Linked DNA regions of Lytechinus pictus. The protein of the gene in region 1 binds, or shares a complex with, the protein of each later gene. Links are inferred from orthologs where the notes say so. Each region holds a gene or a part of one and is shown in the gene's direction. Other genes may lie near its edges.

What was found. The genes of interacting proteins can lie anywhere in the genome.
Region 2: the proteins of medium-chain specific acyl-CoA dehydrogenase, mitochondrial-like (region 1) and electron transfer flavoprotein subunit alpha, mitochondrial-like are in contact, whole or in part, in a crystal structure (PDB 2A1T), measured with the Homo sapiens proteins. The link is inferred for Lytechinus pictus from reciprocal best matches to the Homo sapiens genes ACADM and ETFA. Residues at the interface, in NP_000007.1 of Homo sapiens: Pro163, Lys173, Pro211, Gln232, Arg235, Glu237, Val251, Glu253; in NP_000117.1 of Homo sapiens: Arg223, Lys226, Arg249, Asp253, Ala283, Ile284, Gln285, Glu304.

The regions. Positions count from the first base shown.
Region 1 is NC_087259.1:22,186,265-22,193,924, forward strand, and holds the start of medium-chain specific acyl-CoA dehydrogenase, mitochondrial-like, read left to right. Parts: upstream 1-4,657; 5' UTR 4,658-4,786; coding exon 4,787-4,819; intron 4,820-7,660. UniProt on the Homo sapiens protein: Medium-chain specific acyl-CoA dehydrogenase is one of the acyl-CoA dehydrogenases that catalyze the first step of mitochondrial fatty acid beta-oxidation, an aerobic process breaking down fatty acids into acetyl-CoA and allowing the production of energy from fats.
Region 2 is NC_087254.1:12,844,428-12,851,843, reverse strand, and holds the start of electron transfer flavoprotein subunit alpha, mitochondrial-like, read left to right. Parts: upstream 1-4,349; 5' UTR 4,350-4,471; coding exon 4,472-4,516; intron 4,517-6,498; coding exon 6,499-6,648; intron 6,649-7,416. UniProt on the Homo sapiens protein: Heterodimeric electron transfer flavoprotein that accepts electrons from several mitochondrial dehydrogenases, including acyl-CoA dehydrogenases, glutaryl-CoA and sarcosine dehydrogenase.

The DNA.
Region 1 (7,660 bases):
GATCGGTATGCAAATGAGGAGGCTGATGACATCATCCACTCACTATTTCTTTTGTATTTTATTATATGAGATATGAAATATTATAATTTTCTCCTCGTTTTCAAGTGAAACAGTGATTAATTCATCCCTAAACATGTGGGATTAGCATTGTTTAATACTATATGGTTCAGTCAAGTCGGCCGGGTCCCTATGTTCAAATCTGTAAAAAATGAAATATTGTATAATTCAAACAATGAAAAAACAAAAGAAATAGTGAGTGACGGATATCATCGACTGACTAATTTGCATGTCACTGAGTTGTGCATATCACTGTTTTGTGAAAAATAAGCGGAAATTTCAAAAATATTGTTTAAGAAAAGTAATTTTATTTATCTCCTCTAAAACTCTAAACTTTAAATTGTTGATTGCAGATCCAATGGGACCAAGTTCTTAGCAGTTCACACCCAGTCAGAAGTACAAAATTGAGAACCATGCAGATCAGCAAGTGTGAGTTACAATCTATAAATTAGGAACAGGATTTCTGAATGGAAAAATTGCAAGGTATGCTTGCTGTTTTGATAATATACAGGCTGTATAAGCTCATCACCCCCCCCCCCCAAAAAAAAAAACAAACAAATAACTAAATATTCCACCTTTTTTTTTTTGGGGGGGGGGGCTATGGCCAATTGTGCTGAAACATGATATCATGTAATGTTAAAGTTCCATTGTGAGTTATATTTGTTTGAATTCAGATTCACCAGTACTTATCCATATGCCTCCTGTCTATATACATACATGTGCATAAAAACAAGATATTAACAAAATTCTGAAAAATATTTGAATTAATTTGCACTCTTTATTATCAAAACATACTATAAATAATTATATTGATCTATGAATTTATCTGGATGTAGGACAAAAGTGACTGCATGTGCTAAACTTGTTATTTCACTGAAGAGTATAAAATAGAGTTTACATCTTTTTAATAAACTGGACTAGATGAGTAAGAATGATTTACAGCTTATTTTGTTCTTTTCTCTATTTTTTACCATGCAGGTTTCCCACTTCCCAAGCTGTTTAAGTACTGGTATCACAAAAAGTGCCAAGAAGAAATATGAAGGTCAAGTTAATAAAAAGTAGTTACTTCATTGCAATAACACATTAAAATGAATTTAATTTGAAATAACTATATTGATAAATCATTGAACGTTACGGTACTTAAACTACACATCTGTAGAAAAGAGTGCAGTACAGTTCAGGTTCATCACAGGGGCTGCTGAACGGTTTTCAAAGTGGGGGGGGGGGGGGGGGCTGACCACGCAAAAAATCACAATCGTATGGTCATTTTTACGTTTTGTACATGGTTTTGGAAAAAAAAGTGGGGGGGAGGGGGGCTGAAGCCCCCCCCCCCCCGCCTTCCGCGGCCCCTGCATCACCGGGCAAAGACATTTAAGTATACAAGTTTTGGTACAAAATTTCACACAAAATACAAGTAAGAAATATATTTCCAACGGGCAAATGTATCACCTTTTATTTATATTTTATACTTTTACTAGTTCTTAGTAGTTTTGATGAAAATAAATATTATTTTCTAGTCTAAAGGCCTATTCAATATCAGAATATGTCTTCCTTAAGTGACATACTTAGGGTTGTAAATAAGACAAAAAATATTGTATTTTGAAATAAAAATCATTCATAGCTAAATGATAATAAAGGTGATCAGAAGATTAAGAAATAATGTCAGTATCACTCCTGGAACTCATTTCATAAACGAGTTATTACTATTGTAATATTGTCATTATGAAAATTATCATTGTAACAGGGCTGAGCAAATTAAGGTTTTAATGTTAGCTGCAACAGGCTGGGGGCAAAGTTACCATGATTACAAGTCTTCATAAAGCTTGAATGATTATTTAGGGTTATTAAGTTACATTTATTCTTATCTTACTATTAAAAAAAATTGAAATGGGTTACCACTGCAAAAATATATGAATATACTATACTTTAAAAATAGATTGAATTCTAACCACAGTGACAGTAGACAAAATCAAATTTTGTGAACGATTGGCTAATGTATTGATTCGGGAAGGCACCCTTTAGGTAGATTCTGGCATTGTGCCCCCCCCCCTTTATGAGGAGTGCTCTCACATCAGTAGACTATTTCTTGTCAGCAAATTTGAAAGGAATTTACCAAATTCGTTTAGTGACAAACTTTTTTGGAAAAAAAATAAACGAATATCAAAGATTTTCATGCTCTTTTATGAAATCTTGGATACATCCCTGATATTAACTATAGGCTCATCGTAATCCTTTGAATGAAATATTGTAACAAACATTGTACAATTTAGAAAAATGTACCCAAAATTTACCCACCCCATACTACCCCCACCCAGTAACAGCCTTTTTTTAGCTATGCATTGCCTTCATTCTTTAAAATTCAATTTAATGCTTGATAGACTCTAATTATTATTGTTATGTTAATGTCAATGTTTAGAAAATAGATTCCTTATAATAAACATGTTAATTTTTTGAATTAAATTTTTTGATCTTGGTAATTTTCATTTATCAATTATTTGTGATAATATATTGCTGCCAAAATCTGTTATGCTCAAATGGTATAAGATGTTGCACTCTGTACTGAAATGTGATGATGCTACTGTTACATCATGATATCAAACAGCAGTCAATTAAAATATTATTCAAGAGAAATAAGGATAATAGTGGGAAATAGATTAAAATGACAGGAGAATTGTTTGCTTGTATGCATATAGTTGTGTGTGTCAGTTTCTGAGAGAGACAGACAGACAGAAAGAGAGAGAGGAAGGGGCAGGAGAGGGGGGGGGGGGGGGGGTCGGGATCAAAATCCAGTTGAAACCAATTAGAGCAAAACCAATTGAAACCAGTTGGCCAATTGGTTTCAATAGGGAAATTGGAACAACTGGAACCAATTGAAACCAGTTGCCAACTGGTTCCACTTAAAACCAATTGGGCAACTGGAACCAATTGGCAATTGGTTCCAGTTGAAACCAATTAAGCAACCATTTGGCAACTGGTTTCAATTGGTTCCAGTTGTTCCAATTTCCCTATTAAAACCAGTTGAATCCAATTGGAAGCAACTGGTTTTAACTTGAAACCAATTGGAGGCTACTGGTTTCAACTGGAACCAGTTGGAACTTCCATTTGGAATGACCTAATTAGTTACAAATTAATTAGAATTTGCGCTAACTATTGCTCATGCCAACAAAGAAGCAGTGCTATAATATGTCTATTAATACCAATGTAAAGGGCATTGATAAAATAGACTTTCATAATGTATATTTATTTATAAAAGATCTTCAAATATATGTATTTGTATTTGATGTAATTTGGTAACAGTTAGTGGTGTACTAACTATCTTATAATCTGTTTTAATTATAATCTATAACATTTATGAACATGGTTTTCACTGCTAAGCATTGTAAACACTTATCTGAAACAAGTTTGGTACTTGAAATAGAAAATAATTAAATAGATACATTTTAAATGATGATGAATCACATAAAACATTAATCTGTGCACACTGGCAGATAATATGCAAATTAACTGGTTTCAATTGGAATCAGTTGGGTAACTGGAAAATTTCCAATTGGAAACCAATTGGAAGTCATTTCCAGTTACCCAACTGGATCCAGTTATGATTTCCAGTTACCCAACGGGTTCCAATTAGAATTAATATCCAGTTAGAAGTCATTTCCAGTTACCCAATTGGTTCCAGTTAGGATTTCCAGTCACCCAACTGGTTCCAGTTAGGATTTCCAGTTACCCAACTGGTTCCAGTTAGGATTTCCAGTAGTACCCAACTGGTTCCAGTTAGGATTTCCAGTTACCCAACTGGTTCCAGTTAGAAATCATTTCCAGTTGGAAGTCATTTCCAGTTACCCAACTGGTTCCAGTAAGGATTTCCAGTTGCCCAACGGGTTCCAGTTAGGATTTCCAGTTGCCCAACTGGTTCCAGTTAGGATTTCCAGTTACCCAACTGGTTCCAGTTAGGATTTCCAGTTACCCAACTGGTTCCAGTTAGAAATCATTTCCAGTTGGAAGTCATTTCCAGTTACCCAACTGGTTCCAGTAAGGATTTCCAGTTGCCCAACTGGTTTCAATTGTTTTCAACTGGAAATTGTTATATTCCAGTTAAAACCAATTTAAACCAGTTAAAACCAAACCAGTTGGAAATCCAACTGGTTTCAATTGGATTTTGGTCCGGGGGGGGGGGGGGGGGGGCTATTAGTGAAAAATCTGTTTGTTATGAAAGAACCAGTTATAAGACCTTAGTGTTCATGACGGGTAAGGGGGCGGGGGGACTAATTATTTCTCCAAAATTTTGAAACCTGCATATAAAATGTATTTTTTCTTTCATTTTCCATTTCATGTATTTATTCAAAATTCTCATTAAAAACATACAAATCAAAGAATACACTATATACAAATATAGATACAAAAATAGAAATAAATTTAACAAGAAAATAAATGAGAATAGGAGGGAGCCAGCATAGGCAAATGGCCTTTCTAAGACTGGGCTCCCGAGACCATAATATAATCATAATAATCATAGAAGAGAGAAAGAGAATGTGGATGATAAGGCAATTACAACTTATTTCAATGTTAAGAGCGCCATCTATCGGTAGTATCCGCATGCTGTACTGTGTGTATATTACGTAAATGTTTACATCAGCTTCCGAGAGCCAGAGTTAGAGAGCCGGATCCGACGTTCTGAATCTGTCCTTTTAGTTCGAACTTAAGCCCTGTAGGAAGAACACAATCGATTAGTATGGCGCTTCGGTTACTTTCTAGACAATTTCGTGTAAGTGTTTTCATTTTAAACACATTCATTGACCGATCAGAGGCCGTACCCTTACGCCCGTAACTTGAAATTGGAAAGTGAACGAGAGTCGAGTGTGCTCGAGCCGGGAGCGCTCCCGAGAGCTGGGTTTGACTTTGGGTAGCCTTGACATTGTGCGACAGATAGCCTCAGTGTCTTTGACGTGACTTTGACAATCGCTGATTTCGTAGATAACGCTAATAAAAGTTCGAAAAATGTAGCCATCTGGAAATAAATCAATGCCCATATGGATATTCTCTTCACTTGAAAGAAAAATCACTCGTGTCTCAAGTTAGACAGCTGGCAGCCGTCTGTTTCGAGGTGTTTTTTTTAGCATTTAAATTTTTATTTATTTTAATTTTAAACCCCCGACGGCGACGTGGCTCTTCGGTTTTATCATTTTTCATAAAAGTATTTAAAAAGAACTGGACCAAGATAAAGCTAGTTAGTATTGTTTTGGCCTTACATGCACCTAAATGCATGAAATGGGAAAAAATAAATTTAAAAGGAAAAAACAGTGACTTCATGGCTGTCATGCAACTACCTACCAGTACCACTTCCCTGTTTTATCCGAACTTATGTACCAGTCACAATTCTTTGTTTTCAACCAGAGAAAACTAGATTCAGTCCACTGAATCTATTGTTCTTTGGCTGAAACATGTAATAGTGAGTCAAAGAATTGTGACTGGTAGTGTACGGCCATTGAGTCCCTGTACAGATCAAGTTAGAACTTAGGTCTCTGTGAGTGGAGCCAACAAAACAAGAGTTCAGCGGAACAACCAATATTATAGAGACCGAAGCTTTTGGTCTGGTCTCAAGTGTATTGCTGCTAATTGAGTTGTAGACTGTTAAAGCATTCTGTTTGTTCCAATTCAATCCAAGTTCTTTTTTGTCTCGCCCAAACAAAGTTCAGCGGAGACCTACTGTAACTTGTTAAAGTTAGTAATCACCTTTCCTGTTTGTGTAAAAAAATTGTTTTATAAGTAAAAAAAAGGGGAAATTTTGTTTAATGATCTCTCAATTGTTTTTTAAGTCAATACTGAAGAAAACACTTATATCTGGTTCTTGGAATGATTGGTTTTGCCTGCCCTTGTTTCAGGGTAGGATGATCAGTTGACGATTAATAACTTTTCATTTATTTTCATATATATATTGCCCAATTTTTGTATTTCTTTAGTTGGTTTTTTTTATTCAGTGTACTTTTTATGTTTAAAAGATTTGTTTTCCTAGTCTTTTTTTCAGTACCCCCCCGCCCCCGATATATTATGTCTTTGTGTTTCTATGGTGCACTTGTTATGCTGTGCTTTAGAGTAATTACTTCCATTATTATGTCCTTATGTAAATAGATTATAGATAAATTATACATGTTATTGAATTGAACTAGCTGGATTACAAAAATGTATTTTAAAGTTTTTGTTCAATTTACTCTCATTTTTTGAATTTCTGCATCACACTTTGTACAAATGACATATTGGGTAATTCCACATGTGTGTTCATGAGGATGATAGGGTAAAAGGTCATCTATGGGTCAAAAAGTCGGATGATATGAGGCCATGTGCATCATTTTTCTTTAAAGTTTTTTTGTTGCTCAAATTGCTTCCTTTTTTATGTCTGAATAGATTGTGTTCATTCTTGTTACAAAATAAATCCTTGGGTAATGCCATATGTGCAGCGGCGTAACAGGGGTCGGTGGCCAGGGGGGGCAAGAGCCAAAAATTTCCCGGTCATATCATGGAACAGGCAATGGCGTCATAAGGCAAAAATTTTGAGGGGGCGATATGGTGTATCGGGCAAATATATATATATATATAATTGTGATGAGCAAGGACCTAAACATTGCGTGGGTGCTTCAGTGAGTAATATATTGGCGAAGAAGCTCAAAAAGCATTGAAGCTAGAGACGTAGCCTGTATTTCTTCAACTTTTATTAGTAGTTTTAGTACAAGCTTTCGGCCATTTAGTTGGGCCTTCTTCAGGTATCTGAAGATGTAAAAGACATGATGGCTTAACAATTACCATGCATATATTTGGATTAATTTACTAAATATAGGTATATCTTAAAAGAAAATGTTTTACATCGGTAATGTTTAATTAGGATTATCCAATAGCTATTCAAATCAAGTAAGTTTACGCAGATTTTTATTACAAACATTTTTTTGAAAGTTATGTGTAATGAGTGTGATTACTTACATACATAAGTTCACGTGCTTAGACGCGAATGTATATGAATCAATACCTTTCCTTAATATGTACTCAATATATATTATACAGTACATACACCACAATATGTCTATATACTGTCATAAAATATTTGTAATAAAAATCTGTGCAAACTTAATCTATTTTAATAGCTTTTGGATAATCTTAATTAAGCATTACCAATGCAATACAACTTCTTTTGAGATATATACTATTTTGAGATATATGTATTATTATACATTTTGGGATATATATTACACCGCACACATAACTTTAAAAAAAAATTAAGTAGCTTAATATAGGTCCCGAGCGAGATAAAAAAAATCACTTTTTCATGAGAATCTAACATGAAGATAGATTTTAGCGTGATATTCAGAAAAATGTAATACACTTTCCTTTCTTTCCTCATATTTTTTGTTTGGTTGTAGAACTTTTGGGGGCCATGGTCCAAACTCATCCATATAACAGTGCTTTCTGGGTGGGGTCCAGGGCAGAGCCCCGGAACCTCTTGATATCAAAGCCATTTTAAACCTTACAGATGGCCACTTATTTTAATATATATTTTATATATATTTATATAGCTTTAACACAACACATAAATTTAATGCAGTTGTGTATCGTAATC
Region 2 (7,416 bases), on another chromosome or scaffold:
TAAAAAAAAATGGAGAAATAGGACAACCATAACTACACCCCTCTCAATTTTGCCTCATAAGGCTACGCATATGACTTAATTTTTTTTAACTCAAACCATGTAGATTTAGCATTTTGATAATTTGATCATGTCCACAGATAAATTTGTAATAATTTGTTTGTAATCGATCATATAATGGAAATACCAGAAAATAAACAACTGAAAATAAACCATATTTTCTGAGAAATCCGAGCATCCTCGATATAGATGTTAAAGCTGATTATATATCAAATCATGTACATTTAGCATAAGATATCATCTTTGTAATTTGTTCTATCATGTTCAAGCAGGAATTTTCTAAATATTTTCAAGATTAGAGCTAATAAGAATACACGTAAGAACTTCTTTACATTTAGAATCAGCAACTTATGGAATAGTCTTCATGGGCTTGTAGAAGAATCTAAGGATGTATTACAATTTGAAAAGAGGATTGATTTTTGGTGGCGTAAATGCAAATTTGATTATGAGGTTCCTCCCACGGACCGCGCCAATTCTTCAGACGTCAGGTTTATCTCCAGGAGCTGGACATAGAGGAACAGAAGATCCTGCGTCCAGAACTGAACTAGCTTATTTAACCTTATGTAAATCTTTGCTTAAACACACGGGCGTCAATCGGTGGGGGACGGGGGGGGGGGTGTCCCCCCCATGATTTTTTCAGGGGGGGGGACACAATATCAAATGTCCCCCCCATGTTTTTGTCATAAAAGAAGTGTGACCATCTGGGGGGGGGGAATATGTGCATACCTTCTCAAGGAAATGAGAGTTGATTCCCCTTTAAAAATATAAAGAAAAAAAACAACTGTCATGTAACTTTTCGATGCAATTAACGGTGGGTAAATTCGCATTCAAAAGCAGCGCAGCTATAGCCGTCTATGAGCCGTTCCTGTACGTACGACGCCGGGGTACACGCGAGCACCCACATGGAGACCCGCACGTGCGTGGTGGGTTTTTTTCATGTGGGTATGCACGGCATGACAGCATAGGCGGATCCAGGGGGCCGCCCCCCCCCCCCCAGTGGCGTACCTAGGATTTTCCACAGGGGGGGGCAAAACCGTCCGGCAAAAAATTGACAAGCAAAAAAAAAAAAAAAAAAAAAAAAAAAAGGTCTTCGATCACAAATAAAGGATTTCGTACCAGAAAAAAATTGACAAGCAAAAAAAAAAAAAAAAAGGTCTTCAAGCTCGTCAGGGGGGCATTAAAGGTCTTAAAGCTCGTCAGGGGGGGGGGGGCAAAAAGGGTTTTTCAAGCCCGTCAAGGGGGGCAAAGATACGTTTTTGCATGGGTTGTGACTCGTCAGGGGGGGGCAGAGTGCCCCCCTGCCCCCCCCCGTAGGTACGCTAGTGCCCCCCCCCCTATTGGAGGAGCAAAAAAAAAGAAAAACAAAGGGAAAGAAAGAAAAAAAAAGAGAAGAAGAAGGGAAAAGAGAGGAGAAAAAAAAGGGAAACATAAAAGGAGGAAGACGAGTGAATAAGATAAGGGGAAGACTTGGAAAGTAATAATAAAAAATCTTTCATGCCGGGATATAAAATTTTTGCTCGCGCTTTGCGCTCGCATCGCCTTTTAGGTGATTTACATATCTTGCTCAATATGAATCTTGAAGTCAATACACAAAACATATTTCAGCTCGAAAATTTAACTTTCATTATTTTTTTTTATTTGCAAATTTGATGTTTAAAAAGTGTTCTGTAAGAATTATTATTTTATGGTCTGAATATTAACATTTTCTGCTTGCGCTGCGCGCTCGCAAAATTTGATTTGTCAGGTACCTATTATTTTCCTGTATTCCATAAAGTTATCAAAATATCCCTATTCAGGTCAGATTGTGAAAACGTATCAGCTAGCGCTGCATGCTCGCATTTTGATTGGTGAGTTATGTTTATCTCAATATTAATTCTAAAACAAACTACTTAAAATCCCCATTTGATCACATGCAGTTTATCAGAAATTTCGGTTCGCGATTTCCGCTCGCATTGATTGTTGAAATATATCAACTCATGCATCTTATTCATAATTACAAAAGTGCTTTAAATGTCCAGTTTTCAGGCCATAATATTAAGAGATTTCGCGCTCTCATGCTTAGGAAGAGAAATAGGAAGATAGTCATCATTTTCATATGATGACATAATGTCCCGGTCCGCTATGTCAAAACTCAAAGTAATAATAATGAAACTTATCAGCTCTTTTTAACTGTGATCCATATCCACCTCACAATTTCCCACAAAGTGCTTGAAAAACAGAGCTTAAATTGACCCTTTTCAGAGCGGAATATCATATATTTTTAGCTCGCGCTTTGTGCTCGCTTTCTTGATTTTCATGATAAGAAATGTATTTAAATTACCCTAATTCTACATGTTCTAGGTCGAAATCTGAAACACGCGTTTATTTAGATACGCAGCTTGTTCTCTATTTAAATCATTATCCAGTTTCAGATCACAATATAAAAAATTGTCTGCTCGCGCTTTGCGCTCGCATTATTAATGTAGGAAAATTTCCAATTACTCATTTTCATGATTTACAAATCATGAATAGAGTGTCCAGAATTTTTCCGCTCGCGCTTCGCGCTCGCATTATTTGGTAGTTAAAATATGTAACGTCATCATGGCTAACACGCAGCCGTTAACTGATCAGACCAAAGCGTATGTCAAAAATAAATAAAACAATTTGTGCTCGTGCTCTGTGCTCGCATTATTTATGTAGGAAACCGATTTCCAATTACTCATCATTTTCATGATTTACAAAATATGAATAGAGTGTCCAATTTTTAGGTTTGAATCTCGAATTTTTCAGCTCGCGCTTCGCGCTCGCATTAATTATTTAGCTATATACTTAACCTTTTTCATTCTTCCGGTAAAAATGTCAAAATTTTCAGCTCGCGCTTCACATTATTTGATAGTCGAAATATGTAACGTCTTCATAGCTAACAAGCTGCCGGTAACAGATCCTTTTTTATCAGATGAAAACGTATATTAAAAATTTCTGCTCGCGCTTCGCGCTCGCAGCAATTATTTAGTTAAATACACATCTCGTTTAGGATCATAAACATTGCCCAAAATGTTTGAATTTTAAAACAAAATACATAAAATAAACAAAAAGCTCGCACTTTTTAAATAAGGCTTATGATATTATATATAAATATATTACCCCTTCAAAGAAACAAACAAAAATTAACTTCGAGCGGCCGATCGGGGAAAATGTGGGTGAAAAAAATTCCGGCCCCCCCCCCCCCCCTATTGGCGAAGGCTGGATCCGCCCCTGTGACATACGGTACATGTAGCGGTGGAGTATGACGAAAGTGTAATGGATCTGGAAAGTATACCTATAAAAGTGACATGCTTGCATGTTGCTATTGTGTCCCCCTCATTCTCAAGTTTGGATTGACGCCCATGCTTAAACAGCATTGTCAATCTTGTCTAAATCCCTGCACAGACTGAAGAATTAAGAAATGACTCAGTGTTTGTAATCGACCACAATCCTAATGGAAGGCACAAAAAAAAGGAAACTAGTCCTATTTACAGGAATACCTGGGCCCCGTATTACAAAGAGTTGCGATTGATCCAATCAATCTCAACTTTATGGAAATCCATACTCATGCCATAAATTTTTTCTACAAGAAATTTGCACGATATCCTTAGTAAACAAAGAGAATCACATTATGCACCGAATTTTCAAGACAACGATGGATGTATGAATATTCATCATATCTAGAAAATGATATGAATAAGCATGCATTTTAGATGTTGACGTTGTTGGCCATATGATCGCTCAATCACAACTCTTTGTAAGACGGGGCCCTGATTTATATTACTTTGTTTTATGTTTGAGTGGAGATGAAATATAGAATTGAATTAAAGTAAACAATTTCCGACAACTAACATTTTAAAAGGAAACTTGCCATTTCTGGAAGTAATTTGCTATCATTAATTCATCTGGAAAGCAAAAGAAAAAAGTCATTTTCAGTAGAGACAGGCTGTAAATGTGTCTCTACTGAAAATGACTTTTTTCTTTTTTAGTTTTAGACTCCTACTGACTAGTATTAATAGATTTGCTGACTCTCCCGATGACTTTTCGTCTCATGTAAAAAACACTACTAAAACATGAACAAAATATAAAAATAAATAGTTAATAGTTTCGGTAAATCTGTAAGTGCTATAAAAAAAACCGCCATGACGTGTCTTTTAATTTAGGTCGTCTGGTCCCCCTTAAAAATCTTGACCCTGCCTGTAAAGAGTTGGGCAAATAATCAATTACTATCAAATCAATATCCTCGTCCTCGATCCCAGCCCCCCCCCCCACGACGTTTTGTAATTTTTATACATTGGCATTTTCTCATCGAAAGAGGTCGACATTTATCTTACACAACATTTCACCTCTAACGTTAGCGTTATACCGGCACATTTCTTGTTCTGTTATTTGATTAAATCACCTTTAAAAAATGTTCGGACTCGTTAGTAGACCAGCAAGGAGGATTGGACAGACGGTATGAAATTTCTTTTTTAAAGTTCATTTCCACAAAATAATGAGCGAAGCTTTTAGGTCTATTGTCTTGATATTGTGTTTACGCAGTGCGAATGCACACGGCCACGCCAGTCGATCGGGGCAGCCACGGCCCGCAGTCGATGTATCGTAGGTCTCGTTCAAGCTCCTACAGTTTCAGCACAACTTTAATGATGAAGGGGGGGGGGGGGGAGGAAGCCGGGGGGGGGTCCTTTTCTATGCTCCTACAAATTTAATTAAGCATGACTTTTCTTTTTATTCCAGACGATACTATTCCACTAAGAGTGGCAAACGCAAACATCGGTTGTGACTTGTGTGCATTGTCATCCACGCCCACCAAAAAAGGGTGGTGCCACAATTCATCCGATTTAGGTGTAAAACAATTTAAAAGATATTATGATAACATATTAGACCATCTTATAATGCTTCTAAGATTCTTCACATATTGTTGGTCTGAAATTAATGTCTTAAACCTAGTAGTAGTACAATGTCATTTTACCTTAAAGATCGGCAACTAATCATATTTCATTTTCATCCTAAAAAATATTTGAAAGCACTAGCACATAGGGTATAGACTTTCTAAATTCTAGACTCTATTCTGTTTTTTGCACAATTAAAATCAATTTGAATTTATTTCCACAATTGAAGAACATTGAAATTAAGAATTACTGTGAAGAAAATATGTGTCAATCTGGAAGAATTATTGTGAAAAGTGAAAAATTGTGATAATTTTTCTATTTCTTGTTCAATATTTTTTCCTTGTTTTCCATTTTTACATGTCAAGGACATTGCTAAACTTATTTTTCAATCAATTAACAGTAGAATCTATTTAAGAAGAATGTTCTACATGTAGCTTTCATTTGAAACTAAATTTGTAGTTGGAAATATTGCGTCATTTCGGAACTGCGTAACCGGGCGTCACAAATTTGGTCTCAAAAGATGTGCAAGACTTGAAAGTAAAAAGTCAGTGAGCTGGGCGGTAAAAAAAATTGCATGGCGGCGTAGCTGCAAAATTTGTCGAGGGGGGGTTTAATTGACCCTCTCCCCCAGTTTAATAAGGGTTAAGGAAAAGGGGGGAAAATCTTCATTTTCTTGATAGTTTCCAACTAACTTGTTAGTCTGAATCTATATAATTTCAGGGAAATTTGGAAAATGCATTGTACAGGACCATTTCTTGGATAAAAAGATGTGAAGTGTGAAATTTCAGCTATTTTAGGGAAGTTTTTTTGTGCTTTATACAGTCAAATGGTTGTCAAAATAGGAAAATGTGTTTTAATAGTCATTTGGTCTGCATTTTAAACATTTTGACTCGCCCCTATTCGTGATTCAGGTCACCTTTATGTTTAATCAAACTTTTCTGAACTTGATTCTACAGAAACATTTGTCATATGAACCCACTTTTCATGTTTGTCTTAGAACATGTTTACCTCAAAACGTAACCATGATTCTGCAGAAACATGTTTCAAATCGTGATTCTACCTCTAGAGTAAAAAAAGTGGCAACTATGTTCCCAAGATATCAACAATATTAATTTTAAAACGTTAGACTAAAGTGTAACATATTAATACATGTATATCATAGACTTGTCTAGTGGTAATATTTATTCTGCATCACATGGTCTACATGTAAGATGCATTTATGCTGCCATCTCATTACTAACGGAAGCAACTGATATTTCTTTTTATTTGTAAGTTGACTTTTGTTCGTGATTTGAGATATTTCCTGTATGATTGTTCTGGATGATGATAAACTAAGGAATTGGAATCATGTACATGACTGGAGTCACATACATAGCCCCCAATTTCTGAAATACAGTGTTTCAAAAGCAAGTAACAATAAAACAATAGCACATTTTCCTCATTTATCAAGAAAGATTCCTTTCATCACTAGACCGCATAATGCATCATGCATCCCCAACCTGATATCCCATGAAACAATTTTTTGTCTTTTTGTTTTTGTTTTCAGTTGTCCTATCTGCAGAGACACAATAGTACCTTGATAGTGGCAGAGCACAACAATGAGAGTCTTGTACCCATAACCCTCAACGCCATCTCGGCTGCCAAGAAGGTCGGGGGAGAGATTTCCTGTCTTGTTGCTGGTACCCAGTGCGCTAAGGTAAGGGTAGTCTGCAAGTTCAGACTCATATTTGAAACTCAAACCAATTATACCATGTCTAGACTGAAGACTATGTCAAACTCCCCCCCCCCCACCTTTCCTCCTTACTATCTTTTACGTAATAAGGTCAATGAACTCGCACAAATAGAGAATTTTTCTCAAATTTTATTACTATTCTTTTTTTTTCATATAACATAAGGCAGCTATCTCAAGTACTTTTTTGGAAGCGCCACATTTCTTGTTGAGAATCTGTAATGCTCCACTATCCATTACGCAAACCAGCAATTTATCACCGGATGGGGGGCCCAGAGGCCCCTGGTGGCGTGGGGGTCGAGGGGGCAGAGCCCCAAGAAGTTTTGGAATATGAGGCCTTTTAAATTGCCCAGAGGGGCTCTAATTAATATCAAAAGAAGAAATACAAATGCCAACAAACTACACAATATTAAAAGAAAAATGACCAGTGACTTTTTCACAACATACCAATGATACCACTAGTTCAGACTGTTCTGCACCAGATCTATTGGCTGAAGCAAGTGGCGTAATGAGTAAAAAAAAATGAGGGGCTAGATATGGCAGCTGAAGCAAAAATATTGAACTTTTCAATACAAAAATCTATATTTTGACATAATATTAAGATAATACAATATTTCCCTTTTCTTTCCTTTTCTCCTCTTTTCTCCTGTTTTCTTGGCCGTGAAACACTTGGGGGCCCCCAATCCCCGCCCCCATCTGTACACCAGTGGCTAAAGTTACGTTCCCCGATTTTGC